4 linked regions of the Lonchura striata genome follow. The protein of the gene in region 4 purifies or fractionates together with the protein of the main gene of each other region. This does not show direct contact. Links are inferred from orthologs where the notes say so. Each region holds a gene or a part of one and is shown on either strand. Other genes may lie near its edges. The genes, in order: DNAJB1, CEP170, HSF2 and BAG2.

What was found.
Region 1: the proteins of BAG2 (region 4) and DNAJB1 purify together in Homo sapiens (affinity purification with mass spectrometry; 4 studies listed by BioGRID and IntAct, with this or other methods). This does not show direct contact. The link is inferred for Lonchura striata from reciprocal best matches to the Homo sapiens genes BAG2 and DNAJB1.
Region 2: the proteins of BAG2 (region 4) and CEP170 purify together in Homo sapiens (affinity purification with mass spectrometry; 3 studies listed by BioGRID and IntAct, with this or other methods). This does not show direct contact. The link is inferred for Lonchura striata from reciprocal best matches to the Homo sapiens genes BAG2 and CEP170.
Region 3: the proteins of BAG2 (region 4) and HSF2 purify together in Homo sapiens (affinity purification with mass spectrometry; 4 studies listed by BioGRID and IntAct, with this or other methods). This does not show direct contact. The link is inferred for Lonchura striata from reciprocal best matches to the Homo sapiens genes BAG2 and HSF2.

Annotation. Positions count from the first base shown.
Region 1 is NC_134623.1:2,238,480-2,245,626, forward strand, and holds the start of DNAJB1 (dnaJ homolog subfamily B member 1), read right to left. Parts: upstream 3,013-7,147; 5' UTR 2,917-3,012; coding exon 2,706-2,916; intron 731-2,705; coding exon 171-730; intron 1-170. Other genes in the region: TECR (very-long-chain enoyl-CoA reductase), read left to right, coding at 6,732-6,972. UniProt on the Homo sapiens protein: Interacts with HSP70 and can stimulate its ATPase activity. Stimulates the association between HSC70 and HIP. Negatively regulates heat shock-induced HSF1 transcriptional activity during the attenuation and recovery phase period of the heat shock response.
Region 2 is NC_134605.1:31,172,630-31,180,559, forward strand, and holds the start of CEP170 (centrosomal protein of 170 kDa), read right to left. Parts: upstream 3,015-7,930; 5' UTR 2,820-3,014; intron 2,175-2,819; coding exon of another isoform or gene 2,147-2,174; exon of another isoform or gene 1,858-2,146; intron 1-1,857. Other genes in the region: SDCCAG8 (serologically defined colon cancer antigen 8), read left to right, coding at 3,586-3,652.
Region 3 is NC_134605.1:63,803,461-63,810,900, forward strand, and holds the start of HSF2 (heat shock factor protein 2), read right to left. Parts: upstream 3,017-7,440; 5' UTR 2,948-3,016; coding exon 2,777-2,947; intron 1-2,776. UniProt on the Homo sapiens protein: DNA-binding protein that specifically binds heat shock promoter elements (HSE) and activates transcription. In higher eukaryotes, HSF is unable to bind to the HSE unless the cells are heat shocked.
Region 4 is NC_134605.1:89,198,158-89,205,348, forward strand, and holds the start of BAG2 (BAG family molecular chaperone regulator 2), read right to left. Parts: upstream 3,001-7,191; 5' UTR 2,908-3,000; coding exon 2,744-2,907; intron 1-2,743. UniProt on the Homo sapiens protein: Co-chaperone for HSP70 and HSC70 chaperone proteins. Acts as a nucleotide-exchange factor (NEF) promoting the release of ADP from the HSP70 and HSC70 proteins thereby triggering client/substrate protein release.

The sequences.
Region 1 (7,147 bases), on a different chromosome or scaffold from region 4:
ACCCATCCTGATGTCCCCAACCCATCCTGACGTCCCCAACCCATCCCTGATGTCCCCAAGACGATCCATCTGTGATGTCCCCATGATGCCCACCCATCCTGATGTCCCCAAGCCCACCCACCCTGACCTCTCACCACCCCCATCCCACCACCACCACCACCACCACCGACCTGCCTCAGGCTGATCTTGGCCGGGTAGACGATGTCGGAGCCGTCGCGGCGGAAGACGTCGTGCGGCTTGTCCTTCAGCACGAACACCACGTCGGCCGGGATGTTGGTGGCCGTCTGGTCGCCCTCTTTGGGGAAGGTGATCTTGGTGCCCTCCTTCCACCCTCGCTTCACCTCGATGGTCAAGATCTTGTCCTCGTTCCTCACCGTCTTCCCGTCGGGGCCCAGGCGCTTGTGGGAGATCTTCATCTTCTTGGTGCAACCGCTGTAGATCTCCTCCAAGGAGACGCGCAGCTCGTAGAGCACCGGCGGGTCCTGCCGGCGACCCTCGGCGCCCCGGGCCCGCGGGAAGCTGACGCTGCCGAAGCCGCCCAGGTGGAAGGTGCTGAAGGCCTCGTCTCCATCCTCGTCGTCGCCGTTGCGTTGCGCGAAGAAGGTGTCGAAGGGGTTGCGCCCGTCGAAGAACTCGGCGAACATGGCGTGCGGGTCGCCGCGGAAGGTGTAGGTGAACGTCGGACCGGTGCCGCCACCCGGTCCGGGGGTCGGGGCTCCCCCTTTCAGCCCTGAAGGTTTTTGGGGGGTGATGGGTTGGAGGGTGGTGAGGGATGGATGAAGGCACCCCAGGCACCCATCAGACCCCACCCCGGGGTGAGCCGCGGGCAGGGCGTGGAGCGGACGAGGGCGTGGGGGAACCGGTTCTGCCCGCGCCGCCGACGCCGCTGACGGGTCCCGGACGGGCTCCGACAGGCCCGGCCGGCTCGGCTCCCCCCGGCACGCCCCGGCGCCCCGGCGGCCACCCCCGGGCGGCTGGCCCGGCGCCGGGGCCGCCACGCGGGACACCGAGCCCGGAGACCCCGGGGACACCGAGCCCGGAGACCCCGGGGACACCGAGCCCGGAGACCCCGGGGACACCGAGCCCGGAGACCCCGGGGGATACCGAGCCCGGAGACCCCAGGGGATACCGAGCCCGGAGACCCCCACGGGATACACCGAGCCTGGAGACCCCGGGGACACCGAGCCCGGAGACCCCGGGGACACCGAGCCCCGGAGCTCCCCCCGTGGGACACCGAGCCCGGAGTCCCCCGTGGGACACCGAGCCCGGAGACCCCGGGGACACCAAGCCTGGAGACCCCGGGGGATACCGAGCCCGGAGACCCCGGGGGATACCGAGCCCAGAGACCCCCGGGGGATACTGAGCCCGAAGCCCCCCCCACGGGATACACCGAGCCCGGAGACCCCCGGGGGATCCACCGAGCCCGGAGACCCCCGTGGGATACACCGATCCCGGAGCCCCCCCCACGGGATACACCGAGCCCGGAGACCCCGGGGGATACCGAGCCCGGAGATCCCGGGGACACCAAGCCCGGAGCCCCCCGTGGGACACCGAGCCCGGAGACCCCGGGGGATACCGAGCCCGGAGATCCCGGGGACACCAAGCCCGGAGCCCCCCGTGGGACACCGAGCCCGGATACCCCCGTGGGATACACCGAGCCAGGAGCCCCCCGTGGGACACCGAGCCCGGAGCCCCCCCCGTGGGATACACCGAGCCCGGAGACCCCGGGGACACCGAGCCCGGAGACCCCGGGGACACCGAGCCCGGAGACCCCGGGGACACCGAGCCCGGAGACCCCCGTGGGACACCGAGCCCGGAGACCCCGGGGACACCGAGCCCAGAGACCCCGGGGACACCGAGCCCGGAGACCCCGGGGACACCGAGCCCGGAGACCCCGGGGGATACTGAGCCCGGAGACCCCGGGGGATACCGGCCCCGGAGACCTCGGGGACACCGAGCCCCGAGCCCCCCGTAGGATACACCGAGCCCGGAGACCCCGGGGGATACCGGCCCCGGAGACCCCCGTGGGATACCGGCCCCGGAGCCCCCCGCCCGCCCGGTGCGTGTCACACCTGCCCTGGCCATGCCCGCGCCCCCCGACCCACGGGCCCGGCCCTGGCACCTGGCCCTGGCACCTGTCCCCTCACCTGTCCCCTCACCTGTCCCCTCACCTGTCCCCCTCACCTGTCCCCCTCACCTGTCCCCCTTACCTGTCCTTGTCACCTGTCCTTGTCACCTGTCCCCCTCACCTGTCCCCATCACCTGTCCCTTTCCGATCCCCCAAATCCCCTCCCATGTCCCCCAGCCCCCCGACCCGAACCCCCGCCGACCCTCTGACCCCCCAAATTCCCTCCCGTGCCCGGACCCCCCGACCCCCTGACCCCCCAAATCCCCTCCGGTGTCCCCCAACCCCCTGGCCGGGACCTCCCCCGACCCTCCGACCCCCCAAATCCCTTCCCGTGCCCGGACCCCCCGACCCCCTGACCCCCCAAATCCCCTCCGGTGTCCCCCAACCCCCCGGTCCGGACCCCCCCCGACCCTCCGACCCCCCAAATCCCCTCCGGTGTCCCCCAGCCCCCCGGCCCGGACCTCCCCAGACCCCCCAAATCCCCTCCGGTCCCGGACCCCCCGAGCCCCGCTCCCCTCCCCGCCCCTGCCGTGCCCCCCGTCCCGGCCGCCCCCGTCCCGCCGGTGCCGCCGCTCACCCTCCTCCCCGTACTTGTCGAAGATCTCCCGTTTTTTGGGGTCGCTGAGCACGTCGTAGGCCTCGGCCACCTCCTTGAAGCGCTGCTCGGCGCCGGGCGAGCGGTCCTTGTCGGGGTGGCAGCGCAGCGCCTGCCGCCGGTAGGCGCGGCGGATGTCGGCGGCGGAGGCGCCCCGGGACAGCCCCAGCGTGCGGTAATAATCCTTGCCCATGGCCGGCCCCGCTGCTCTGGCACCGGGCACGGCGAGAGACTCCGCGGGACGGGCACGGCGAGGGAGCCCCGAGGGGCGGGGGGGCGGGGAGGGACCGGGAGGGAACGGGGAGGGATGGGGGAGGGATGGGGAGGGACCGGGAGGGACCAGGTGGGACCGGGGAGGGATGGGGAGGGACGGGGAGGGACCAGGTGGGACCGGGGAGGGATGGGGGAGGGATGGGGAGGGAACGGGAGGGACCGGGAGGGATGGGGAGGGACGGGGAGGGACCAGGTGGGAACGGGAGGGATGGGGGAGGGATGGGGAGGGACCGGGAGGGATGGGGGAGGGATGGGGAGGGACCGGGAGGGACCAGGTGGGACCGGGGAGGGACCGGGAGGGACGGGGAGGGAACGGGAGGGATGGGGAGGGATGGGGAGGGATGGGGGAGGGATGGGGAGGGAACGGGAGGGATGGGGGAGGGATGGGGAGGGATGGGGACGGACGGGGAGGGACCGGGAGGGACGGGGAGGGAACGGGGAGGGATGGAAATGGAGCGGGGAGGGACCAGGAGGGACGGGGAGGGATGGGGAGGGACCGGGGAGGGATGGGGAGGGACGGGGAGGGACCAGGTGGGACCGGGGAGGGACGGGGAGGGACCAGGTGGGACCGGGGAGGAACAGGGAGGGAACGGGAGGGACGGGGATGGATGGGGAGGGACCGGGGGTAGACCGGGGAGAGACCGAGGAATGGATGGGGATGGGGTTGGGACCGGGAATGGACCGAGGGATGGAGCGGGAATGGAACGGGAATGGACCGAGGGATGGAGCGGGAATGGAACGGGAATGGACCGAGGGATGGAGCGGGAATGGAACGGGAATGGACCGAGGGATGGAGTGCGAGAGAGCTGGACCGGGAATAGACCGGGAATGGACCGGGGAGGGAGCGGGGAGGGACCAGGGAAGGACCGAGGGATGGAGAGTCCGAGGGCTGGACCGGGGAGGGACCGCGAATGGACCGGGGAGAGACCGGGGAAGGACCGAGGGATGGAGAGACCGAGGGCTGGACCAGGAATGGACCGGGGAAGGACCGAGGGATGGAGCAGGAGAGGGCTGGACCGGGAATGGACCGGGGAAGGACCGAGGGATGGAGGAGAACAGAGCTGGACCGGGAATGGACCGGGAATGGAAGTGAACCGGAGGAAGGACCGGGGATGGGTCGAGGAGGGGCTGGACCGGAGACGGGACCGGGGAAGGAGCGGGGGGGACGAGGAGGGGTCGGGAAAGGGGCGGGAGAGGGAGCGGGGAGAGATCGGCGGAGGAACCGGGAGAGGGAACGGGGCGGGAGCCGGGGAGGGACCGGCGGAGGTGCCGGGAGGGACCGGGACGGGAACGGGACGGGAACGGGAACGGGGATGGGAACGGGGAGGATATGAGGACATGGGGACATTGGGGACATTGGGGACATTGGGGACACTGGGGACAGGGACACGGGCACACGGGGACACAGGGAGGGACAGGTCCCTCCACGCCGTTGTCCCCGTGGCCCCGCGGTCACCGTGTCCCAGAGTGTCCCCATGGTGTCCCCACGGTGTCCCCACGGTGTCCCCACGGTGTCCCCACGGTGTCCCCGCGTGTCCTCGGGACCCCCCAGCCTGCCACGACCACCCCAGCTCCCCCAGCCCCCCTGTGACCCTTCGGACCCCTGGAACCCCCCAGACCCCTCAGATCCCCCAAAACCCGCAGCCCCCCCAGTTCCCTCGGACCCCCCAGTCCCTGAGACCCCCCCAGTTCCTGAGACCCCCCCAGACCACCCCAAACCTCTCGGACCCCCCCAAGCCCCGCAGCCCCCCAGTCCCTGTGAACCCCCAGTCCCCATGACCCCCCCAGTCCCTGAGACCCCCCCAGACCCCCCCAAACCTCTCGGACCCCCCCAAGCCCCGCAGCCCCCCAGTCCCTGTGAACCCCCAGTCCCCATGACCCCCCCAGAACCCCCATGGCCCCCCAGACCCTTCAGGCCTCCCAGCCCCCCCAAACCTCTCAGATCTCCCAGATCCCCCCAGTCCCTGTGACCCTTCCCCTCCCCATGGCCCCCCAGACCCCCCAAAACCTCTCGGACCCCGCCAAACCTCTCGGACCCCCCCAAACCCCGCAGCCCCCCAGTCCCTGAGACCCCCCCAGCCCCTCTGACCCCTCCATTCCCCATGGCCACCCTGACCCCCCATGACCCCCCAGACCCCCCATGACCCCCCAGACCCCTCAGACCCCTCTAGACCCGCCCCCATGCGCTGCTTGCCCCTCCCACTCCCCGCCCCTCCCGCGAGCCCATTGGCCGAGCAGGCCATCACTCCACCCTCAGCCCCACCCCCTCCGCGATCCCATTGGCTGCCGCGGCCGTCACTCCACGCCCCGCCCCCGCCTCCCATTGGCGGAGTCCCCCTCGGGCGTTCGCGTCGCCCCGGCAACCGCCGAGGCGGGAAGGGGCGAGCGCGCGGGCGGGGCCGCTGCCTCCTGATTGGCCGCGCCCAGCCACGCGAGCGCCGCCGATTGGCCGAGCCGCGGGCCCCGCCCCCCCGCCGGCGTGAGGGGCGGGTCACGTGGGGGCGGCGGGGGCGGCGGGAGCGGCGGAGCGCAGCGGCCATGAAGCACTACGAGGTGAGGCGGCCGCGCCGCCCGCGGCCCGGCCCGGACACCGCCACCGGAGCGGCCCCCAGCGCCGCCGCCGCCGGCCCCGCACGGCGGCAGCGCGGCGGCGCCGCGGAACCCGCGCGTTCCACCCCGGGGCGCCCGGGACGCGCTGCGCGCATGTGCGGTGGGCGTCGTGATGTGCGCATGCGCGGCGGGAGGGCGAGCTGGCTATGGGCGGGGCTATGGAGGGCGTGGCGTTTGTCAAGGGGGCGTGGCTATTAAGGGGGCGTGGCTTGGGCTCCCGGGACTCCCGGTGGTCCCGGAGGGTCCCGGAAGGTCCCGGAGGGTCCCGGAAGGTTCTGGAAGGTCCCGGAGGGTCCCGGGCAGGTGCAGAGCCCGGAGGGGCCGCGGTGACCCCGGGACGGGTCCCGCTGTCCCCCCTCACTGAGCGCCACCGGCGCTGCCACCGTCACCGCTCCGGTGGCTCCTCCAGGGCCACCCCGGGGTCACCTCCAGGGCCACCCCGGGGTCACCTCGGAGCCACCTCCAGGGCCGCCTTGGGGCCACCACGAGGCCACCTCCAGGGACACCCCGGGGCCACCTCCAGGGCCATCTCCAGGGCTACCCCAGGGCCACCTCCAAGGACACCTTGGGGCCACCTCCAGGGCCACCCCATGGCCACCTCCAGGGCCACCTCAGGGCCACCTCGGGACCACCACGGGGCCACCTCCAGGGCCACCTCCAGGGCCACCACGGGGCCACCTCCAGGGCCACCCCGGGGCCACCACGGGGCCACTTCCAGGGCCACCCTGGGACCACCACGGGGCCTGCCCGGGGCCACCTCCAGGGCCACCACAGGGCCAGCCCGGGACCACCTCCGGGGCCACCTCGGAGCCACCTCGTGGCCATTTCCAGGGCCACCTCAGAGCCAATTCCAGGGCCAGCCCGGGGCCACCTCCAGGGCCACCTCCAGGACCACCCCGGGGCCACCTCCAGGGCCACCTCGGGGCCACCACGGGGCCACCTCCAGGGCCACCCCGGGACCACCACGGGGCCTGCCCGGGGCCACCTCCAGGGCCACCACAGGGCCAGCCCGGGGCCACCTCGGAGCCACCTCGTGGCCATTTCCAGGGCCACCTCAGAGCCAATTCCAGGGCCAGCCCGGGGCCACCTCCAGGGCCACCTCGGAGCCAATTCCAGGGCCACCTCATGGCCACCTCGGGGCCACCTCGGGCCACCTTGGGGCCACCAAGGGGGGGCGGGTTATATTTAGCGCTGGCGGGGCCGCTCGGGTTTCGGTGGCATGGAGGTGGCGGTGGCACCCGAGGGTGGCCCGGCGCTGTGGCCGGCGGTGGCCCCCGGCAAGCGGCCCAAGAAATCGGCCGTGCTCTTCTTCGAGGTGGAGATCCTGGACGCCCGCAGCCGGGAGAAGCTCTGCTTCCTCGACAAGGTGAGGGGACAGCGGGGGACAGGGGGACATGGGGGGATATTGGGGACATGGGGGGACAGGAGGACATGGGGACATCGGGGATATTGGGGACATGGGGGGACAGGGGGACATGGGGACATGGGGGGATATTGGGGACATGGGGGGACATTGGGACAGGAGGGGACATGGGGACATG
Region 2 (7,930 bases), about 58 Mb from region 4:
AAGCAGTGCTAACATGGAAACTGCCCTGTTAAGAGAATCAAGAAGATACTATGGTATACCTTCTCCCTGCAATGCCAAGAACTGGAAACTGTACAGCAAAATCAATTTTTGCAACTACTCATGCCTTGGGTTTCATTCCAGGCATTTGAGGAACAACTACAACCGAACATAGACTTTTCCAGTTCATTTTCATAAGCTGGAGCTTTTCTGGCTTGTATGTTATCAACAGAATTTTTAAGAAATTTTGCTTGTCAAGTCCATTACAGCAGATGAAAGTCAATATAGAAATAACCTTTTTTTTTTTTTTTCAAGAGTTAGACTAGATATGGGAAATAGCCATATGTCAAAACCACTCCCCAAACAATGCACTGTCATGCCAAAGTTTGGTAATGTTATGTGTAGTAAATATAATTCGCACCATTCCTTGTATGAAATATGTAATATTGGATACTTGTTAGATTATGCCTGTTTGTATTAGTCCCCCTGTCCCGTCCCCCCCCCCCTTTGCAGGCGAGACTGGGTGTATATTGGAAACTGATTTACAAGTAAAAGGACGTGGCTCGCCAGGAGATGGGCCATGTCTGGACTCCAGGTGCTGACCATCGGGACTCCAGGTGTTGATCATCGGGTACTGATCATCGCATAAGCGACCCGAGATGGATATCATGGAAATCCTCAGACAGATACATGTGAATACAGCCTTCCCGTAAATCTTATCAGGGATTCACCTACTCTGGACACTGAATTACTCCTCCTCATCACCAAAAAAGTAAAATCTTATTAACCTATGGACTCTGAATAGAAGAAAAGACTGATTGCTGAAATCTTGGCCTCAGGCAGAATTTTCCCTATAAAAACCGCTTGTGCCAGGATGGAGGTGTGTGGGCATAGGGAAAAACCTCTGCTGAGGCTGACTCCTTGTTGCACACCCAGGGCCAACCCTGGGCTCAGCACTGTCTTTTTCTGTGGCTGGCTAGATAGAATTCGACCACTTATAAAATTATTTTTATTTTTAATCTGGCTGAATAAATTCTCATTTATAACAGTAACAACTTATAAATCAGATGGTTTGTCTTCAAAAGAATTAAAGAAAGCATTTTAATCTGATCCATTTCAAGTAACTTCAAGATTCTTGAGATTTTGACAAATTCTTTGTATCCGAGCTGCACTACTATCTCTATTCAGCCAGCCTTCCTAACCTCCACCAGACAAAGGAAAAAAAAAGCCAACAAAAACAGAACACTTACATGAAGGTGAAAAAGTGTTTAAAAAAAATGATAATCTAAGAGTGAAGGGAGATTCTTTGCAGTGTTTCTGTTTAACTTTTTCCCCGTTAAATCAAATTTAAAGTTGAGGAGCTTCCATATCAGTAGAGTTCAGCAAGACAGACTTCTCAGCATCTGGACATAAAGTAATTCCCAGAGGAAATTAATCATAGGAAATCACAGCATATGCAGTCGTCTCCGTTCAGTTTACAAAAACTGTCCCATCCCACATATCATTTTGCAGACACAAGCCCAGGGCCAAGAACGCTGTCACAAAGCCTTGAATGGCATTCCAAAGGAGAAAAGATGATCATTGCAGCGCCAGAGCAGGCTTTATTCTTTCAAAGTACTTAAATATTTTATGAGTACCTTTGCTTTCACAGGGAAGAAAATAATTTCCTCCAAGTGCAGATCAGCGGATGCTATCTAATCCCTTGTCACAATAAAGCAATCCTTATGTACACACAACTCATCAGCATACCATCTACGTCTCTTTTTTTCCCACCAAGCCGCGAGCATTGGTGGGCTAATTGTCGGCTTATGCTGAAAAAGCGCTCAGAACGCGGCCGCCCGCGCCGGGAGCAGCGCTCGCCGTGCCCGCCCGGCTCCCGGCGCGGACGGCCCCGCTGCCCGCGGAGCGTCCCCGCCCCTCCCGCCCGCTTCCTCCGCTGCGACGCCGCTTTCTGCTCGAAAATCGCCATCGGGTTTTTGTTAGCGCAGTAACCCGTTCGTCTCCACGGCGGGCACACAAAGTGGGCCCGGGCTGCTCCTCGCCACTGGGACAAAAACCTCGATTTCATGTTTTTCCCGGGAAGCGCCTCGAAAAAGGAAAAGCTCACGCCTTCGGGAGGATATTTTCGGAAGCAGGGGACCCGACTCGTATGGTGGAAATACGCAATATGAGAAAAGGTGAAACCCACAGTTTTTCTCCATCATCCTTTCACAGAAGACATTATTTCAAGGAGACGAAGGGAAACGCCGCATCCCAGACGAAGGACGTCACTGATTTTTAAATCCGGAGAAACACGCTGCCTCCAGCCCCGGGGAGGGAGCGAAAGAAGGTCACCCCCCAAAAAAAATTAAACCTCTGGAAACGTCTCCGCTGGAATCGCGGAAATCCACCCGCGGGAGGGGGGGCTGCGCAGCCCCGGGGCTGGGTGGGTGGGTGTGCCGAGGCGCCCCGCGGGCGGAAAGGGGCAGGGAGACGCGGGCAGCGGGATCCAGCAGCACCAAATGCCAGACGTGGGATGCCGTCCGCGTCCCGCCCGAGGCGATGACCCCCCGCCACCGGCGATCCCCCCGCGCTGACGAGGGGAAAGGGAGGCGGGGGCGCGGAGTAACCTGCGGGCCGGGCGGGGACAGGGGAGGGGGAGCGAGCTGCGCACAGACCGTGTTACCTCCCCCTCCGCCGGCCGCAGCCCGCCCGGGTCCCGGCGGGCGGTACCTCCTGACACAATAGGCACCGGACGGACCGCGGCGCGACCGTAGCCCCTCTCCCCGCCGCGGCTCCCGCCCGACCCGCAGGGCGGCGGCGGCAGCATCATCCTCACTCACCCCTCCGAGGAGGCTCGCGCGCCGGGGAGGGGCCGTCGCTAGCGGGTGCTCAGCGAGCCGGCATCCCGCGGGATGCGAAGCGAGGGCGGAGCGCTCGGTGTCCCTCTGGCAACGGCCCCGGCGTTATTCCCTGCACATAGCGGCGGCTAACGGCACAGCGGCGCGGCACCGCGCCGCACTGCGCACGCGCCGGGGCCGAGCGGCCGGCGGGGCCGCGCTGCGCCTGCGCGGCCCGCAGACAATAGCGTTCCCCGAGCTGCGGGCGCTCCCCGCGCGGGCGATGGCGGGAGGTAAACGGCGCTTCCCGCCCCGATCCGCCCCTGCCGTGCCGGGACCGGTGCTGAGCTCGCTGCAGGCCTGAGGGCGTAGGCGGGCGGGCTGTGCTGTGCGCAGGCGCGACTGCGACCGCGATCCACAACAAAGGGGATACGGCTCGCGGCGACCACCCTTTCCCGGTTGCCGGTGGTGGGCGGTGGGCGGGAACTCTGCCGCCGGCGGCGCGGTGCATGCCGGGACTTGTAGTCCTGGCGGAGGCATTCCCGCCATCGGGAAGCGCGACGGATTCCTGGCGTTGCTAGTTTCAGCTGCGGCGGCCGACGGCAACGGTTGGCCACCAGGAGCCGGAGGGACCCCCGCAGATGTCTCCTCCGAGAGCTCAACGTGGGAAGGTAGAACGGGTGGAACTACTGTCCCGCAGCCTCCCCGCGGGGAGCCCCCGGTGCTGGGAGACAGCGCCGGCTGCTGCCCGGCAGCCAGCGGCGTCCTGATGCGGGCGCCCCGCGGGGAGCGCGCCCTGGAGGAGTCCCTGGAGCGATACCAGAGGCGCCTCCGAGGTGAGCGGCACGGGCGCGGGGCGAGGCCGGGCTGCCCCAGCCGCCGCCCGGGACCGAGGAGCGCCCGGGCCGGGCTGGGACGAGCGCGCAGCGGGGAAGTTGGGCTGGTTGTCCCCACCCCCGATCACAGGCGCTGTGACACGCGCTCGTGTCACCGTAACGCTCCTCGGGCAGGACCGCTGCTGCTTCGGGTGCGGTTTTCGTGGTAAAGATGAGTGTACAAATGGACTCTAATGAGAGTGGTTGTTTCCCATATCATTGAGTGTTTTCATACCTGACACTTTGTCCAAGAAGCGTGGTGTATAGCCTGACAGAGAGCACCTGAATCTGTCAGCCGTGACACCTAGGCTTACCAGCCTTCACACTGTCACTGACTGGGCAAAGGCAAATGTCCAAATTCTGAAGAAAGCCAGTGGATAGTTTGTGGGTATGTGAACCTACTGGTGTGAAAAGTTGTGTTCTGAGCACAGTACCCCAATATGGCATGTTGGGATGTTTCCTGTGCCATAAAAAACAACATTGCAAAAAAGAAGAAAGAAACAATAGAAACATTTTCAAATAGCTACTTGATTCTCAGCAAATCTTTTTTTACTTCCATCTCAAAGGAGCATCAGTTCCTTATATTAGCGATAGATCTCTTCTGTTCCACAAGATAGAACTTTAAGGAATAATTTCTATCTACTTCTCCTGTAGATGAAATGGACATGGTAATGCTACTTGACACTTGCAGTTAACAGTTATCGCAGAACAGTTAGAATGACTAATATCAGGGTTGTTTAACTGTGTGTGAGCCTATTAGAGCTGACTGTATCTAATGGATACATTGGATGCATGTATTCTCTTCATACAACTTATTTTCATTTTTTTTTCTGACTGGATCTCCTTACACTGGATCCATTATATGTGTTAAATAAATTCATAACCTGAATTTCTGGTGAGCCTTTCCCCTTTACATTCTTGGACACAAGAATTTTCTTTCCATACAATGCCAAGGTAGTTTTGATCTCATGCATCTCGGGGTGCCTCTCATGTAGAAATCGATATGGTGATGCACAAACAGCCCCAATACAGGGCGATATAACTCAAGTTTTGTGGTGTTTCTCAAAGAACCTCTTTATTTCTCAGTGATGTGCAATTTTAACTCCTTTAAGCTGTACAGCATTTTCCACATCATTACTAGCAGTGTTAGGAATTCACTGTAGGATAAACATCATCGTTACTCTCAAAGCTGTCAAATCTAATGCTTTACCTATTTCTCTTATATAGTTATACAACTTGAGATTTTTGTCCCCATTGGGATGACCCTGTCATCCAGGTTCTGCAATTTTACGTGGCATGCTTTGGGCATTATTTGATGCTTTTGAAATAATGTAATGCTTGACATTATCTGGATGCAGGCCGAGCTCATAGCAACGGCTTTTCACCACCCATGCAGGATACCAGAAGAATCACTTTACTGCCTTACTCAGTTTGATGGAAGGGTGCTTAAGTTCTCAAAGAGCAGCTGATTATTTCAGGGCAATGTCCTTTGTTGCAAAGGGAAATCCCTCAGAAGATGGGGAGCCTGAGTGTTCAGTAAACTGAGTCTGATTGCCAGAGGGCAGAAAGCTGGACCAAAAAATCCTGATTAAGACCTACCTGGTCTTAGAGCTTAAAAGATAGGCTTTGATAAATAACAAAGGTTCTATAATGTAGTTTTTCCTGACCTTGTATAATGAAAGTCTTTAATGCTATGTGTAACTCTAACTCAAGAGGGTGGTATTTGTACAGTTGGGGTTATTAGGTTACTGCATAAACTTTCATATAATTGAGACCATTTCAAATGAACCTTAAAAACTTTAGGAGATTATATTTCTAATAAAAAGTCTTCTCAAGGGAGTAGAAGTATTTTCTAAATGATAATAAGTGGTGTGTTGCTGTATTCGTGTTAATAACTGAAAATTGACAGGTATAGTGTAAATGTCCAATGGCCCTTCTACTATACCACTGCCAAGAAAAGAGCATGATGCCTTCCTGTGACTTTCCCCTTTTCTCCTAACAGCAGTAAATTGTGAAGGCTGTTTAGAGTCCAGTTCTTTCTTGAACAGAGAACTATTAGCTTATACTTTTATGTTGAGTTTTCTGCCTCTTGAGTGAAGAACGCTCACTCACTGTTGGACCTGAGCCATTATAAGTGCAGGAACAAAGGTGGGGCAAGCAATCCTTTTTAGGTACTGAGCCTGATACACTTGTCTATCTCAAGTCTGTCTTAGGGTATTGTGAAAATTACATTCTGTATTCCACTGCATTGCTGAGTGCAGTGTCCTACTACATAATTTCAGAGAATGGAGATACCAACCCTAAGAGAAACAGATGACAAGATAAGACTTTTTGGAATAAAGTTTCATTTTGTGGCTGTTCTTTGTTATTCCAAAAATAAAACAGGAGAGATGGGAAGTCAAAGCCATCTTATGTGGCCCAGTTTCTATCACTACAAATTAGCTGTCATACTGAAGCAGCTTAGAAATACATTCTTAATGATTTTTTGCTTAGGCTTTTATTTTTGTTTGGCAGGTGTTTCTAGGTATTCTTCCGAACATAAAATGTTCTTTTAAAGGTGGAGAATCTGCCACAAGGAACTTGGCAATGAGGTTTTCGTATATGAGGGTTTCTAGAACTTAGGCAAATGCTTTATGCTCTGCAGAAAGGGCTGGTGTAGGAACTTGTAACAATGACTGCTGTAACAGTGCTTTTAAATATAATAGCTTGGTAAAAGTTATGCTGAAAACTACCTATTTCTCATATAAAAAGAGACCAAGAATGTCGCTATAGGACACAAGAAAGCACAACACGAGCCACTACGATGACAAGGTAAAAAAGAAGAGGGTTTATTTTTCTGACTCCAACTTTTATACTTTTCCAAAGGTGACAGTGGATTGGAGAGTGAATGGGCCACCTCTCCAAAGACATTGAACAAACCACCAGTACATCAACTTCCTCCACTCCCACGAAGGAATGCAAAACAATATGTTGTTTATAGAAAATGTGTGGGAAAGTTTTCTAACAGAATGTAAACTCAGAAGGCTTTAGAAAATCTTAAGAATCAGGGTGACACAAGAAACCAAATCAGAAGGATTTATTACTTTGGAACAGCTGTGCATTTCACATATCGGGATCTTTTGAGGCCTGACTGATGAACAGGCTGGTCTTGCTCATTGCTGCATGTAAAATCCTAGCAGTACAGGTAGTGATAGACAGGATATTTTTAGTCTCAAAACTCCCATATAATGTGCTACTTTCCTGGTAGCATACCTGCGTTTGGCAGCCAATAAAGAATGGAATGAAAAGCTGGATGTCAGAATGGGAAGTAAAGTAAGTTCCAAGATGTTCTAAACACAAAAAACCCTATAACCAAATTCTCAGTTTCAGTATTTTTCAGCAGTTACTTGACTGAAAGATATATGGTATAATATTTTAGATTTTTAGCTGTCAATGGAAGAAAGTTGATCTCATTTTGGACATGAATTTTTTTTAAAATGGCTATGATCTTTTTGCTTTCACTAGTGTGTCTATCTGTTTTGTCAGTTACTGTTTCACAAAAATTTTACAGTGGTTTGCTTTGCGTTTTTTTAAGACATAAAGAATCAGTGTGATTCCTTCTCTAATTTTCTAAGGCTGTTTGCTGATTGGGAACCATGAGATATCAGCAAGTGATGCTTGTTTGTTGAATTTATAGCCAGTAATTTCATGTTCTTGTAGACATTATTAGAACTGGACTGTTAGGTTTGGGTGACAGACTTATGATAACTTTTTCATGGAATTGCCGTTTGTTTTCTTCAGTGTATGCTGCTTAATGATTCTAGCAGCTGGAGTTATTTTCCATGTCTTTCAGGCAATTCTGTTGTTTTGGATGATTGATTCTTTTGCTCCCAGAGTATTTTCTATGGCATTTCCAAGTCCATGAATGAGGTAGCTTTGGTGCTTTCATTTAAAGGAGTACTCTTTAGAAAGAGTGCTGTGCAGTGCCTGAGAAAACATCTCTTGTTTGGGCAATGCTAAACAAGTTCAGCGCCTTCTGGGTTTTTTTCCTGTTTTGACTTCAATGGCAAATTGTTTTTACACTGATTTTTTTTTTTTTAATTTATTGAGTTTGATCCATCAAATTTGGGTGCTAGCTTGTCATTTTTTCATAATTATCTCAGATCCTTTAAACACTGAAAACCAAAGGGCTTAATAGTAAAGTTTTTTTTTTGAAGTTTCAATCCACATCAGTCCAAATTAAATTATATTGTCAGCTGT
Region 3 (7,440 bases), about 25 Mb from region 4:
GCCACCTAAAGCAAGATTCCCCTTCTGGAATGCCAATTGTGAGGGAAGACTGATATTTTATTTAATCTACAGGCTTTAACTAAAATAGAAGGATGAGCTCTTTGTTCTTCAATGACTGCACTCCATTTAACTACAGGGCAACTAACTGGCAGAATGCAAATTATCTACTTAAAAATGGTTTAGGTTTTGTCTACACATCTGCAATACTCTCACCCTGTAGTTAATAAAAAGTCTTATCTTCAATAAATGTCAACACTTTTCCTGCATCTTTTTAAAAAGTCTTTTAATTTTAATGAGTCACTTCTCTTATCCTCAAATGGCAGCAGCTCTCTGATCCTAAGAAGCTTAAAGAACCATATGAAGGTTCTTGCCCAAAGGTGGGTGTCCTTGTTTCAGATAGGATAGAATTATTTTTTTTTTCTTGGTAGCTGGTAGAGTGCTAAGTTTTGGATTCAGTGCTAGAATAATGTTAATAATAAGTTGATGTTTTAGTTGTTGCTGAGCAGTGCTTACCCTAAGTCCAGGTCTTCTCAGCCTCCCAAGCACTGCCAGCAAACAGGTGCACAAGAAGTTGGGAAGGTGCATGGCCAGGACAGCTGACCCAAACTGGGCAAAGGGATATTCCACACCAGAGAACATCATGCCCAATATATAAACTGGGGGAGTTATCCAGCAGGAAGGCCAACTGCTGGTTTTGGATGGGCTGGGTACAGGCCTGCAGGTGGTAACCAACTGAACTGGGCATTTGTTTTTCTTGTGTTTCAGTTCTGTTTTATTACTGTTATCATATACTTCACTTCATTTCAGTTCTAAATGGTTATCTCAACCCACAAGTTTTACTTTCTCTACCAGGGTGTGGGGGAGTGAGCAAGTGGCCGAGATGTACTTCAACTCAGTTGCCAGCGGGGGTTAAACCACAACAGCTTGCTCCAGCAAGTCAGCAGGGAGCATCAGAAACAGGATGTTACAAATGACTCTCCACTGGATGACTTAAGCCTTAACACTGAGATGAAGGTAGGGAGATTAAAACTTCCAGTAATGCCTACCTATCTCCTGCTGAGAATCAATCAGTGGAAGAAAAAGAAGAAGCAAAAGAACAGCAAGAACAAACTATTTTAGCCAAAGTGAAATTCACAAAGTGAAGGTGTTGAACTAGGTGACACTAGAGTGACCTGGGACACCAACAGACAACTCCTCACTTTATCATCACTTTGACATTGTCCAGGCCTAGCACATAAGAATCTGGGAAACACATCCACGAGCTCCTGTTGCCCTGACAGTCATTTACAGGAAAGCCGTACAGATGCTAAGCCTGTAAACTCCACTACACAGCTAAATATGATTGTCAGCTCCTAGTGCCCATGGCTACAGCATGCAGCAGTCTTCCAAGTGCTTCACTTGGTACTCCTCACCCATATCACAAGTAATCCCAATACCTACCCCTACAAGAGCTGCTGGTTGCTAATAATATCAACTGTGATAGCTGGACCTTCCCCCCTAGAAACAGCCTTGCAGAATCTCAAACAATTTACTGTTTCAATTAAAAAAAACTAACACAAGGATACCTAACAGGTATCTGTATGTTTACCTGAGATAAACATAAGCAATGGATTTGGGAATTCTCCATTAAAACCATAGGGCAGCAAAAACAGCATTTTTAAATGTAGACAATACCAATTTTCATAGAGCCTTTAGTATCTCTCTTCCAAAAAAACCCCAAAAAACAAACAAACAAAAAAAGCAGAGAAAAAAGAAGCCAAATAAATTCCAAAAACACCACAAAAAAATTCCACCCTAAAACAAAACAAAACGAAAAAAAAGAAAGAAAAGCTGCCGTAATCTACTGAAGCCTCCTGCTTCCCTCTTTGGGAAGTTTTGGCTGAAGGTACAGGTAAATAATTTTCAGTAACATACTTACGACATTTCATTATTTCTAGAGCATTTAAAATAAGGAGCATTCAGCTGAGTTTAACTCAATGGTACTTAAAGAAATTGATACGATTTGAGAACAAGATTTTATTGAAAGCAGCACGTAAGGAAAAAATGAAGCAGCAATTATCAAAATATGTGCTTAGGTTTTAGCACAACCGTCAAGGATGCTCACTGTAGCAACTTGCCAGTCCTTCCTTGCACTGTAAGAAGACTGGTGCCCAATTCGAATACTCGACTTCCCCCGTGGCCCATCCCCTTCCCGCCACCCCAGCAGGTGGACACCCAGCCCGGGAAGCCCCGGCCGTCTCCCACGTGGCCGCCCCCCACTGCCCCTGCGGGATCCGGGCCCGCGGGAGCACGCAGCAAACGCCACCAGGCCTGAGCACGCCGCTCTTCCCACCTGGCGCAGCTCTCCCGGAGCCCCGTTCCTGGCGCACCCACCACCCCGCGATGGGAAATCTTCCCCGCACGCCAAAACCCTCCGGCTGCCGGGCCCCTTCCCACCCCCATGGCCGCCCGAGCCTGCTCAGTCAGAGCCGCCACACAAACACCCCCACCCTCCGCAGGGGTGCTGGGACGCGCCCCAGGGCGGGCACGGCAGCTCCTACTCCACGCTTAAAACAAGGGAGAGGCTGAGGGCTGGAGCGAGCCGGCCTCTGCCGAGCAGCTCAGCACAGCTCAGCGCGGCCCGAGCCAAGCCAGCCATGTGGCCGTGCCCTGATGCTGCGTCCTCCGCAGGCGCACGCCGAGGTCCCCGCAGGCCCCGATGGCGCCGGTGATGGCGGGGGCTCCGGGGCTGCGCCACACGCGGGCGGGGGGGAGGGCGGGGGGGAGAGCGGCCGACCTGGCTCCAGGTGATGAGCTGGTTGCTGGGGGTCTCGCCCAGCAGAGCCCACAGCTTGCTGAGGAAGGCCGGGACCCCCGGGCTGGCGAAGGGAGGCGACGGCTGCAGGGGAGGCTGCGGGGCCGGCGCCGGTTGCGGCGGCAGCAGCGGCTGCTGCTGTTGCTGCTTCATTGTCGCTCGGGAGCCGCCGGGGCCTCTGTCCGGGAGGGAGCGCAACCAGACCGGCCTGGCCCCGCCCCTCACCCCCCACCCCGCATGCGCGGCGGCCCCGCAGCGCGCGCGCGTGCCGGCCCCGCCCCTCCCCCCCGCGCCTTACATAACGTCCCCACGTGCGCCGCCCTCACGTGTCACAACAGCGCCGGCACGGGGGGGGACGGAGCCAATAGGGGCGCGCCTGGCGGCGGGGGCGGGGCCGCGTCGCGCGGGCGCACGTTCCCCGCGGGGCAGCGGCGCGTGGCGGGCGCGGCTGAGGGAGCGCTCCGCTCCCGCTCCTTTCCCGTGTCCCAGGGAAAGAAAGGCGGGCGAGTGCCCGGGACGGGCCTTCTGAGGCCGTGTCCCAGCCTAGCGTTTCCGAGCCGTCCGGGAGAGCGCTGAATAATAGCTAGCCAGCTCAAAAACATGAGTACGCAGGGCGTATGCACAACAGGAGCACCCAAGCCAGCTCCCCCCAAAAGCATCTCAGGCAGGCCCTAAGCAGACCCCTTTGCAAGGCAACTGGTGTTTAGAATTCAGACTTACCAGCTACTGAAACTGAAAAATGAAACTGAGTATCTCAAGGAAAACAGCCTAGTGAATGGTGAAATGCACTTTTTTTTTTTTGTTTTTGTTTTTAATCCTCTCACAAGTATTTTGCAAAACTTAATCACATATTACTTTTTAAGAATTTGTTCTATGGAACTAAAATTACTATTTTCACAACAAACCTCCATTGACGAGTAGTGTTGCTAATATTTGTTGAAATGTCTCAAGTCTCAAAGAATCGCAGTGAGTTTAATCTGCTGCAATTTACAGTGAAAACGAATCACAATGGCACAGGGAAGATAACAGAACCTTTAGCCCGTGTAGCCGACAGGAAAATTAAGTTCAATATTTGTTTCAAGCTGTATATCACACAAGGTCCCTTTTGTCACATCATTAGTAGCTTACCGGAGCCTATAACAAACCCTTTGAGTGACATTCACTGGATCATTCCTGAAAGAAGTCACGGTTGCTAAGTTCATGGCTCAGCTTTTCAGGGTCAATATTTGGAATTAAAAAACTCATATAAATGCCTTTTGAATTTAAACACAAATTTACAGTAATTTTCCAAGTAATTTTTCATCCTGACGTTCATGTGCAGCAAGCTTTTACTGGATTCCATTAATCTACATAGAAATGCTAGAAAAGCAGAGAGAAGAATATGATTGTGACTTAATCTGGACTCAGTATTGCTCTGCATCTTATATTTCTTGTTTACAACTTCAATTTGAAAATAGAAGTTGATTTGCAGAATTGTTGGACAGTGTTTCAAAAGGCAAACCCCTATATTTATGTCTTTGGCTGAGACAGAAGTGGAACCATGTACTTATTTTTTTCATTTCCTTAGTAGACATCACCATGGTGAAAAAGACTGCTCTGTAAGTTGATTTCCAATGTCTTACAGTTGAGGCAAATCTTTAAAGCTTTCTTTTTAAAGCTCAGTTTAGGAAAAAGGTTTTCTTCTGAAGCCTTAAGCTTAAGAATTGGAAGTTATTTATTAATACTTAACATAAAGTGTTAGCAATGTACAACTCAAATAAGGCTTCTATTAGGTTTTTATTTCATTGTCTTACAAGGTCTGAGCACAAGGTAATTGCTTGTCCCTGTTGATAAAGCTTTTGATTACATTGTTTTACAATCCAGTCATTGCAAAACTCATCTGGGGCTATTTGACTTCCCAGTATCTTCATAAGCAGTGCTGTAATCTTTTTCCACACTGCAGTAAAATTTTCCTCCACTTAGCTTGCAGAAATCTGGTAATTATCAGCTCTGAGACAGGTCAAGCTATTTAAATCTTCCATGATGCAGTTCTCACCCTCCCCTCTCCAGAAAAACATAACACTTTAAAACTCTTAATGTATTGTGAAATGTTGGGAATTCAGATCTCTTCCCATATCCCTGAACTAACCCCTCAAGCCCCACTAGATTCTGTTCCTCCTGAGCCTCATTCTCCCTCCCTTGGGCCCATAGTTCCCTCAAATGTCAGAGTTCCAACTAAGACCTTGTTGCTTGGGAACTAAGGGAGCACTGCCAACAGGAAACATCTGATTTCCAATGTTTTTTTTTTCTACAGCTTTCACGGAGAGGCTACATAGTTAGCGGCACCTCAAATCTGGGCAGGAGGCCAAAGAATAAAGTTAGATAGCTGTTCATATCACTGTTTGTTTTGACATCCCATATGCCTAAAAATTGCATCCGTCACTGGTCTTATGCTCGAGCAGCAGGCAGCCCCATAGCACTCCCATACTCTTATAGGAGCTTTGGCCACTGATAGTCTGGTTTTGATGTGCTTTAAGAATAATAATTTGGGATGGGGACCCTGTTCCACAGTACATTTACAAGTAGGGGTCATAAAGCAGCCCCCATGTAACAATATTTTTCTGATATGAAATTAACCTATCTTCTTTGCCTTCCTATTTTCTTCCCCTACAATGGGATATGCAGAAGGGGACAGCAGCCCTGCTTGTGCTGTTGGTCTGGCTTTTTAAGTCTGAAGTGCATTTAACTCTGAACTGTGAACTCCAGTTGCAACAGACCCTGAGTTAAGCCTGAGTCAACTCCCCAAGGGATAGCAGTCTGCAGATTTTCCTTAAGACAAAGAGCATGATGCAAAACAAGAGCCTGAAAATGACAGGAGAGACAAAGGCAGGGTGACAGATTTCAAGGCAATACCTTCCTCTTTTTGCAACCACAATTTGTCCTGCCTGAAAGGCCAGCATATGAAGGTTATCTTTATTGATTCATCTGTATCGATCCATATGAAAGCAAGAGACAAATCAGACACTGAACTTGCACAAATGTTACCCCTGGAACAAGCACAGGCAGCCAGCCACAAGTAGGCCATCCTGGATCAAGCACTGCAGAGCACCTCATAGCCAAATTTGATGCAAGACTTCCAAGCCTTCCACCTTTAAAAAATTATTATACCATTTAAATAACTGAAAGTGTTCCTGGAAGTCCCAGCTCTGCACATACTAGGATCTCCTTGAATCAAAGGTGGCCCTAAGAGGCCTAGCTTTAAATCAATTCTCTTTGAACCAAGGATAGTATGAGATATCTGTATTTATGATGAAAACAGCTAGAGTAGGCAAGGTAGATGACATTTCAGAGAGCTTCTATAGAGATTAATATTCTGGTTTAGGGCAAATTTAGAAGGAAACCTCCAAATGGGGTCTGTCCAGAAAGCAAACCCAAGCAGCCCCTCCCCGATGTGGTTCGGGAAAAGATTTCCTTGGAGAAAAGTGGAAAAAACTATTTATTTAACAAACAAAGTATGAACAAGCATAATAAATAAATAACATTAAACAATAAAACCTCTTGTTGTTCTGAAGAGATGGCAAATTCAGAAAGTACTTGTGGGCTCACTTTGCTCAGTTTCTCATCAGTCCCTCCTGCACTGGAAAATGCTGCGTCCCAGGTCCTGATGGGCAACTCTTGTGAACTACTGGTGCTCTTCTGGGTTTTCAGTCCAGAGCAGGACTGATCAGTTCCAAGAAAAAGAAAAAAACATAATCCAGGAAACTTCAGTGCCTCAGCTAGCTAAAAAAAAAAAACTAAATAAAAAGTAAAGGAGAGCTTTCTCCCGCTGCAGACAACACAGTCCAGGAGAGAAAAACACTGAAGGTGTGTTTTGAAAACAACCACCTCAGACATTCCACTGCTCTTCATTCTTCCCCCACTTCACTCTCAGATCTAGTTTTAAAAGTGCAATACTTATTTCTGGGTTAAACAGACAAATGGGGATACAATTCAGCATCGTAAAGTCACCCAAGGACAATTAATCTTCCAAAGTAATATCCATTCAGTTAGTGTTATGCCATCCTTGTGCATCTGATTCAAGTACCACACAGTGTTTTAGATGGCTGAGTGATTCATTTGCCTTCTTATTCTCTACAGGAAGAAGAGATGGCACAGGCAGCACACCAGATATTTAATAGACAGTGATAAAACAAAGGCTGGCATCAAGTTTTAAAATTAAGTTTTGGTAAGTTTTGTTCCCCTCAGTATATTTAAAATTAAGCTATGATAACTGAAACCAACTACTATTCATGATCAGTATTTTTTCTTTCTTGAAAGGAAAATTCAGACCTACATTCATATTGACTATAAACCCTCCAAGACAGCTTGCTTTGCAAATGGCACAGAAGTGGTATCCATTTCTTGTTTGCTTATGTGTGAGGAATACTTGAAACAGACCTTCCCAATTAGACAAGATCTTCCATACACCTTGAAAATGCTCAGTGTTTCTTAAAAGACTGCTTTCTTGTAATATGAGGAAAAGTTACAGACTTGGAAAAGTTATATTTTAAACTATATAATTTAATATATATATATATATATATTTTAAACTCAACTAAACAAAGCTATAGCATTGTTTAGTTGAGCTAGCATTCAAGATAAACTTAGTGCCTTTAAAAAAATCCAGA
Region 4 (7,191 bases):
AGCAATTATCTGAGCAATGCCTTTTTTTGCTACATACCATTTACATGAGCAGAGCATTCCCCTGAGAAACAGGTGGACCAGGCTGTGCTTTTGTTTCCAGATGAGAAACTTGACACCTGCTTTCTTAGGACAGCTGCAATAACTGTGTCCTTTAAACTAATGACTGACTTAAACAGCCCACTATTAAAACCCACGTGCTGGAGGTCCAGATAAGCTTTCAAAGGAAATAAGAAACATCCGAGAATGGAGCAGCTTTTTTTCCTGAAATAGAGCTAATCAGGCACACTGGAAGAAGACAAAACAGGGGGTTTCATCCTGGCATCCTCAGCTTCTTCAGCTGAGTGTCCACTCCCAGGTAAGCCGTCCTGTGAACACTGAAATGAATGGTGGCGGAACAGGGTTGATCCAAACAACAAGACAAGAAGTACAAAAAATGAAGATAAAAAATACCCAGTAAGAATCTTACTTACCTCGTGTATCATCACACCTAAAACTGTGTTTTCACTTTACACAACCAACAGAACGCAGTGACTCATAAACAGAGCTTCTGGTCTGGCTTCCAGCTGCTCCTGAGATATCTTGGCAGTCACAGCCACACGAAGGTCCAAGCCCTTACAAGGGGCAAACGTGCCACCTGCCCGGCTCACCACCTCTGCCTCGGGCACTCCCTCCCAAATTAACTCCCCTTCCCTGCTCACTTTCCATACAGAAGAAATGCACTCAGCAAACACCTATCAGGGAGGTACAAAAATACCCCATTACTGTTGGAAAATGAGCTCTCACAGTGGAAAGAAAGGGAGGAAAAGGAAGGCTGTTCAAACTGGAGCAGTTTACAATGCCTTTAAACTGAAGGAAGGTAGACTTAGATTAGGTATTAGGAAGAAATTCTTCACTATGAGGATGGTGAGACACTGGAACAGGTTTCCCAGAGAGGTTGTGGACACTTGGAGGTGTTGAAAGCCAGGCCGGATGTGGCTTTGAGCCACCTGGTCTACTGAAAGGTGCCCCTGCCCATGTCAGGAGGTTGGAACTAGGGGACCTTTAAGGTCCCTCCTAACCCAAACCATTCTGTGATCCTGTGACTTCCAGAGGGATGAGGCTTGCTTCAGAGTTCAGCTGACCTTAAGCAACTTGAGAACTGAGGATTGTTGAGGGTTTTAATTAAAGGCTGTAGTTCAGTTTGACAAATTTTCACTGGTTGTATTAACAAGCAACATCTTGAGGGTCTATAGCAAAACCAAACAAGCTGGAAAAGGAGAAAGTTTGGAAGTTTTTCCTCCTGTCATTCAAATAAATTTGAAATGAAGCATGTTGATTAGTTGTGAATAGGAAAAAACTGTAAGACTTGAGTGACTTTTATCAAATTAGACTTTTTTTTTTTTCTCATTACTATTCCACATTTAGAATTATGGCTGTCTGAAAGAACCACAGCAAACTGGGAAGTTTAATTGAGGGTTTAATTGCTGGCTAACCAAACTGTCTGCTTTGTTTCAGAGTCACTCAGCAAATCTAAAACACATTTTTGCATATTCTCATGCTAATTTTTTGATTATATATTCATCATACGCCTAGACCTGGATGTAAGCAGTGAGACTTGTTTGCAGACAGTGATTTTGTTTAGTCAAATTCAGAGAAGTCTGCAAAGGACTTCAAGGAGATTTAATCAAGCTAAGTGAAAGGCTAATATAACAGCACATCGAGTCCACTCCTGAATAATGCAAAGTAATGCAGGCAGAAAGGGGAAATAAAACTCCTGCATCCCACAGAGCTCTTTTAATTACAGGAAAGTCCTAGAAACATTCTGGGTGGCTCTATGAAAGCTGCTGATCAATATGCAGCTGTAATGAAGGAAAGGGTGTGTTGAAACAGTACCAGAGGAGGTGAATCAGTGGCATTCTGCACATCCATCCACCTCAGAAAGGACACTATGTAATTTAGCAGAGCTGAGAGGACAGGGAAGATGATTAAAGGCAAGGTATCATCTCTCATGAAGCCAAACTGGGAAAAAAGTAAAATGGTATTATTTAGGGAACGTCAAGTAGCAGAAAAAGTTAGGACGTGTCTTGGCACAATTATGAAATTCACATAGTATTTACAATAACTTTGGAAAAACACGCCTCAGCTGCAGAATGCAATGCTGTTCACATTTTATAGTGACACTTTTTAATACACCTCAGAGAGGAGGCAGACACAAACACTACAAGAACATCCACAGCTGAACCAGTAAGTGCGAAGGGAGGTTTGGAAGACAAGAAGCCTCACACGCCAGCATACAGCACTGCAGCTTAAAGGCTTGCCAAAGTCTCCGAGAGCCTGAATGACACCATGTTTTATCCTCGGATTTCCTGCATCTCCCTATAAAACACCTGCCCGCAGGTGCGGGACAGGGGGACAGGGTGGGACGGCAGTCAGGATGCAGCGCGGGCTCGTCCCCGCCGTGTCACAGCTCCAGAGCGCAGCCCCGTCTAAAGGCTCCCCGCGCCCTGAAGGGTTAACAAATCCCAAACAGCCCTTCGCGCTTTCTCTGAAAAACGTCCACTTTCATACATTCTTATAGCTATTCCTATTTTCGTGTATTGCCAGGCCACGCTAACTCACCTTTGAGCAGTAGCTCCCATTTTTAAACTTTGTCCCCCATGAAGGAGAGCCTTTTCCCCCGGGTCCCCTCCAGAAGCCTCGCACCGCCCCCCAGCCGGGGGAGGGCCAGCGGCTCCCGGCCCCCCAGCGCCCGGCCGGGCCCCACCTGAGCTCCAGCTGGTCCAGGTTCTCGAGCAGGCGGCTGGAGCGGTCGGCCATGGAGGTGGAGCGGTAGAAGCGGCCCCGGAGCTGCCCGCCCGACTGCTGCTGCGGCTGCGGCTGCTGCGGCGCCCCCTCGCTGGCCTTGGCGCTGATCCGGGCCTGGGCCATCCCACCCGCCGCTGCCGCCGGCGGAGCCTCGCCGCGGCCGCTCCCTCCCCGCGTCCCGCAGGCGGCGGCGGCGGCCGAATGCCGGCACCTCGCTCATGGCCAAAGAAGGAGCCGCCCCGCCGCCGGCCCCGCGGCCACCCCGCCCCCGCGCCGGGCCCGCGGGCAGCGCCTCACGCAGCGCGGCGGGGCCGCCCCGCCCCGCCCCGCCCCGCCCCGGGGCAGCGGAACCGCCGGGCGGGCCGGGCTGGAGGGACCGCGCTGGGTCAGCCGGGCCGGCCCCTGCCCCCTCTCGAGCGAGGGACACTCCACAACCTCTCTGGGCAATCTGTGCTGCTCGATCGCCTCGACAGTAAACAAGTTGTTCCTATTCAGGTGGAACTTCCCTTCCCGTGCATCAGTTTCTGCCCACGTCTCTTGTCCTATCACTTGGCACCACGGAGAAGAGGCTGCTCCGTCTTCTTGACACCCGTCCTTTGGGTACGCAGTCACATTGATGAGGGCCCCTCTCAGTCACCCCTTCTCGAGGCTGAACAGACCCAGCTCCCTCGGGCATTCCTGGCACGAGAGATTCTCCAGCCCCCTGGCTGGGTTCGCTGCCCCAGGAGCTCCCTGTCTCCCGCCTCTGCCCCCTCGCACACAGCCACGGGGCCGGCGGGGCCGCGCCCGGGGCTGAGGCCGCGCAGCCGAGCGTGCCCGGCAGTGCCCGGCAGTGCCCGGCACCGCAGGGTCACCGCAGGGTCACCGCAGTGTCACCGCAGGGTCACCGCAGTGTCACCGCAGGGTTACTGCGGTGTCACCGCAGGGTCACCGCACGGTCACCGCAGTATCACCGCAGGGTTACTGCAGTGTCACCGCAGTGTCACCGCACCTGCCGCGCAGCGCTCCGGCCCCTGGCCGACACACGGCAGCCTCTGCTGCCCTGCTCCTCGCTGGCACCGCCTGGGGCACAGGCCTGGGCTGTCCTGCTCCAGTCTCCACTCCCCTTTGTGGCAAAAGCAACAAAACCTGGACCAGCCGGGAAGGGAGGAAAAGTGATGCTTTCGATATCTGTATTAGCTTTGTGAGGGAGATGGGAGCTATTGGTATGAGGCTTTGTGTTCCAGAACTGGTCTGTGTGGCTGGTTCATTGGTTTGCTCTTTCATTAAAGAAAACAAGAAACCCACAACTACCCAAAGGTTATTTTTATTTAAGGCTAATTAAACAGTAAACTACAAAACTGAAAACAGTGGAAAGTGCAAAAAAAGGGAGGAGGAAAAATAAAGGGCTTTAAAAATCCAGAAGCTTGACATGAGAGAGAAGTCAAACCAGAGACAGCCCTTAGTGCAAGCAGAACCTAAACAAAATTCCTAAAAAAAAAACAACAACAACAAAAAAAAAAAGGTATTTTGGATACTGCTATACTGCTACTTATAGTGCATCTTTCTCCTGCCAACTGCAAGAGCCCCCTACTACTTGCAGAAAAGCAGCTGTTTCACCAGCTGTTATTGTAAGATTCTACAAAAAAAAGCTTACTGGAAATAAAAGTGGTTTGTATTCTCTTTCTATGCCAGAGAGAAAAGATATATCTATTTAATGGTAGCCAAGGTAGTTGATCTACATCTAGTAATGACTTGTCCCAGGAACGTATTTAATTTGCCTGTATGAAACGGTTCCTTCTTTCTCACAAGCACCAGCAATTCAAGTCACACATAAGTTTTAGTTACCACTACTGTGAGTATTTAAAAAGGAATTTGCTTATCCCAAAAGACGAGGTTTGGGCAAATACCCCATGGCTCTAACAGACCAATTCTTGGCACCCAGCTAAGGGGGATTTTGTTGCACAGGGACACTGTTTTGTATGCTTATCCTGCTGTGATTCAAAATAGCTGTTTTCTCAGGCTCATCCATTCAGAATGATATCATGTCCTGAGTACTCTCGTTAAATTAATTGCCTGAGTTTTCTTTGTTTTACATGGTTGGATAAGCAAGGCTCGTTGCCTGTGAGCTCATGGAAATAGCTTCATTTGAACAATTGTTCCATCCATCTCTCTACAGTCTCTATAGAAGATAATTAAAAACCATTTCCCACCCCAAACAGAACCCATTTGTAGCCATGACACATAGTTTGCTACCATTTATTTCCTAGGATCCTTCTATTCATCCCATGCCAATTTATTAAGCTTCAATTAGATTGGGTTTAAAAAGCAGAAATCAAAGTAGCTGAGCAGCTCTGAACACTTTTTTCCTCCACACGTAAGTAGGGGTTTAATTCCACACAGGTAGAAGTCACAACAGCTGAATCAGAGGCGCAGAACAGCTCTAAGTGTCCAAATGTATCACACGTTACTTACCCTCTTTAACAACAAAAGGACATTACACAAGAAGGAGGAATAGCAAAACTTTGGAAACAAAATGCAAATTTAAAAGTAAAAATAGTCTTCCAGGACAAGTCTTGAAATTACTGCCTGTAAAAACTGGGATATTTTCCCTTTCAGAGGCTTGGAAGGACCTTGAAAACAGCTTTTCCTGCTCTCTAGAGTAAGTTGCCCCCACCCCCTCTATTTTTGCTGAGGTATGTAAAGGGACAATTGGCATCAATTTTCCAAAATAATAACTGGTTGGTCTAGAAAGATTGGAGTGCATCCCTGCAGGAAGGAATGTGATTCACAGCTGAGTTGGAGGAATTTTAAGGACAAAAGGTAGGATTTAATTCTCCTCCTTGCCATCACTGGTGAAGCATGTTCAGGGCTGCTGGTGAAGCCATGCTACATCCCTGTCTCCTCCCATGTCTGCACATCTGTGGTCATGTGAAGGACTGCACAGACCTGCTCTCACTATGGGCACCAGCAAAAACATAAGAAGAGAGTGGGTATCCCATTGTTCCTGCATTCCCATCACAACAGTGAAAACATTGGCTGTCTCTTGTTTAAACTACAGCATTGTAAAGAATGGGTGCTGATTACAAAATAGAGCAATGAACAGAAGTCTCATTCACATGCACAAAGTCCCTTGAGACAGCAGAAAGAGCAACTTTTCCAGGTCTCAGACATCTGATGTAAAAGTCCCAGAGCGAGGGAGATGACCTACACCAAAAGCACTGCAAACTGTAACACTACTAAACAGCACCTTAGTTCCAGCTTTGCCTTATTTCAAATCCTGGTATATGCCTTGTCACATACCCTAATACTTACACATGAGCTGTCATGGAAGAGGATCAAAGAGAAAGTCCACACCCAAGAAATGCCATGCAGGATTATTTTCCTGTCTTCATCTACAGGAATTTAGTATTTTCAAGCTGAAAGAGGGGAAGTTTACGTTAGATACTAGGATGAAATTCTCTTCTGTGAGGGTGGCGAGGCACGGGAACAGGTTGTCCAGAGAAGCTGTGGATGCTTCATTCCTGAAAGTGTTCAAGGCCAGGATGAAAGAGGCTCTGACCAAACTGGTCTACTGGGAGGTGTCCCTCTCCACAGCAGGCTGGAACTAGATGATTTTAAGGTTTCTTCCAACCCAAACAATTTGGTGGTTAAGAACCTTCCTTGTGAGCAGGTATTCTGCTGGAAGCAGCAGTTCCCAGACATGGCTGAAGGATGCATCCATGGCTCAGGCCAGCCAACCAAAACCAGCCTGCAGCCTCTCCGGCACTGCAACAATAGCAATAAAGATGGGCCAACCTGACTTTTCAGGCTGTTTTCCATCAAAACACATCTGCTATCACAGTAGGCTGCCCCCTCACTTCACACCTGCTGAACCTGTGCTGCTGTGTCTCTACTGCTGCTCTTACCAATGCTATTAAAACTAGCCTGGGTTTGCCTCTACATGCTGCAGTTTTTACTGTGTAGGCAAGCCCTGAGGTCCCAGGCTGGTTAGAAGTCTGAATTAAGTCCTCTGTCTCAGGGGCAATCTGAGAGCTGCTATGACCATTTTGGGGCATGCAGCAATTCATTCTCACTTGAGCAGTCGACGATTAAATGAGGCAGTGCATTCTGTACAGCTGCAGATGCTCAGTCTATTGACAGTGGAGCTCTGAGCTGAAAAGCAAAGGGAAGGGCCACCAGAAATTAGGATGTTGCAGCCAGTGAAAGCCAATTTGCAGATTTACAAAAGGAACTTTACATTAAATTTCTATGCATGCAGAGCTTTGCTGTTCAAGTACACACTTGGCATGTTCTTGCCATCTGCCATAAATTTTCTGACTTGTTTACATCCACTTTTAGAATTATCTCAGGCCATATTATTTGACCCAGATTGTTACTACTGAGCACCAAACCCCTTGAACTAAGAATTTCTACAGGAAACTTCAA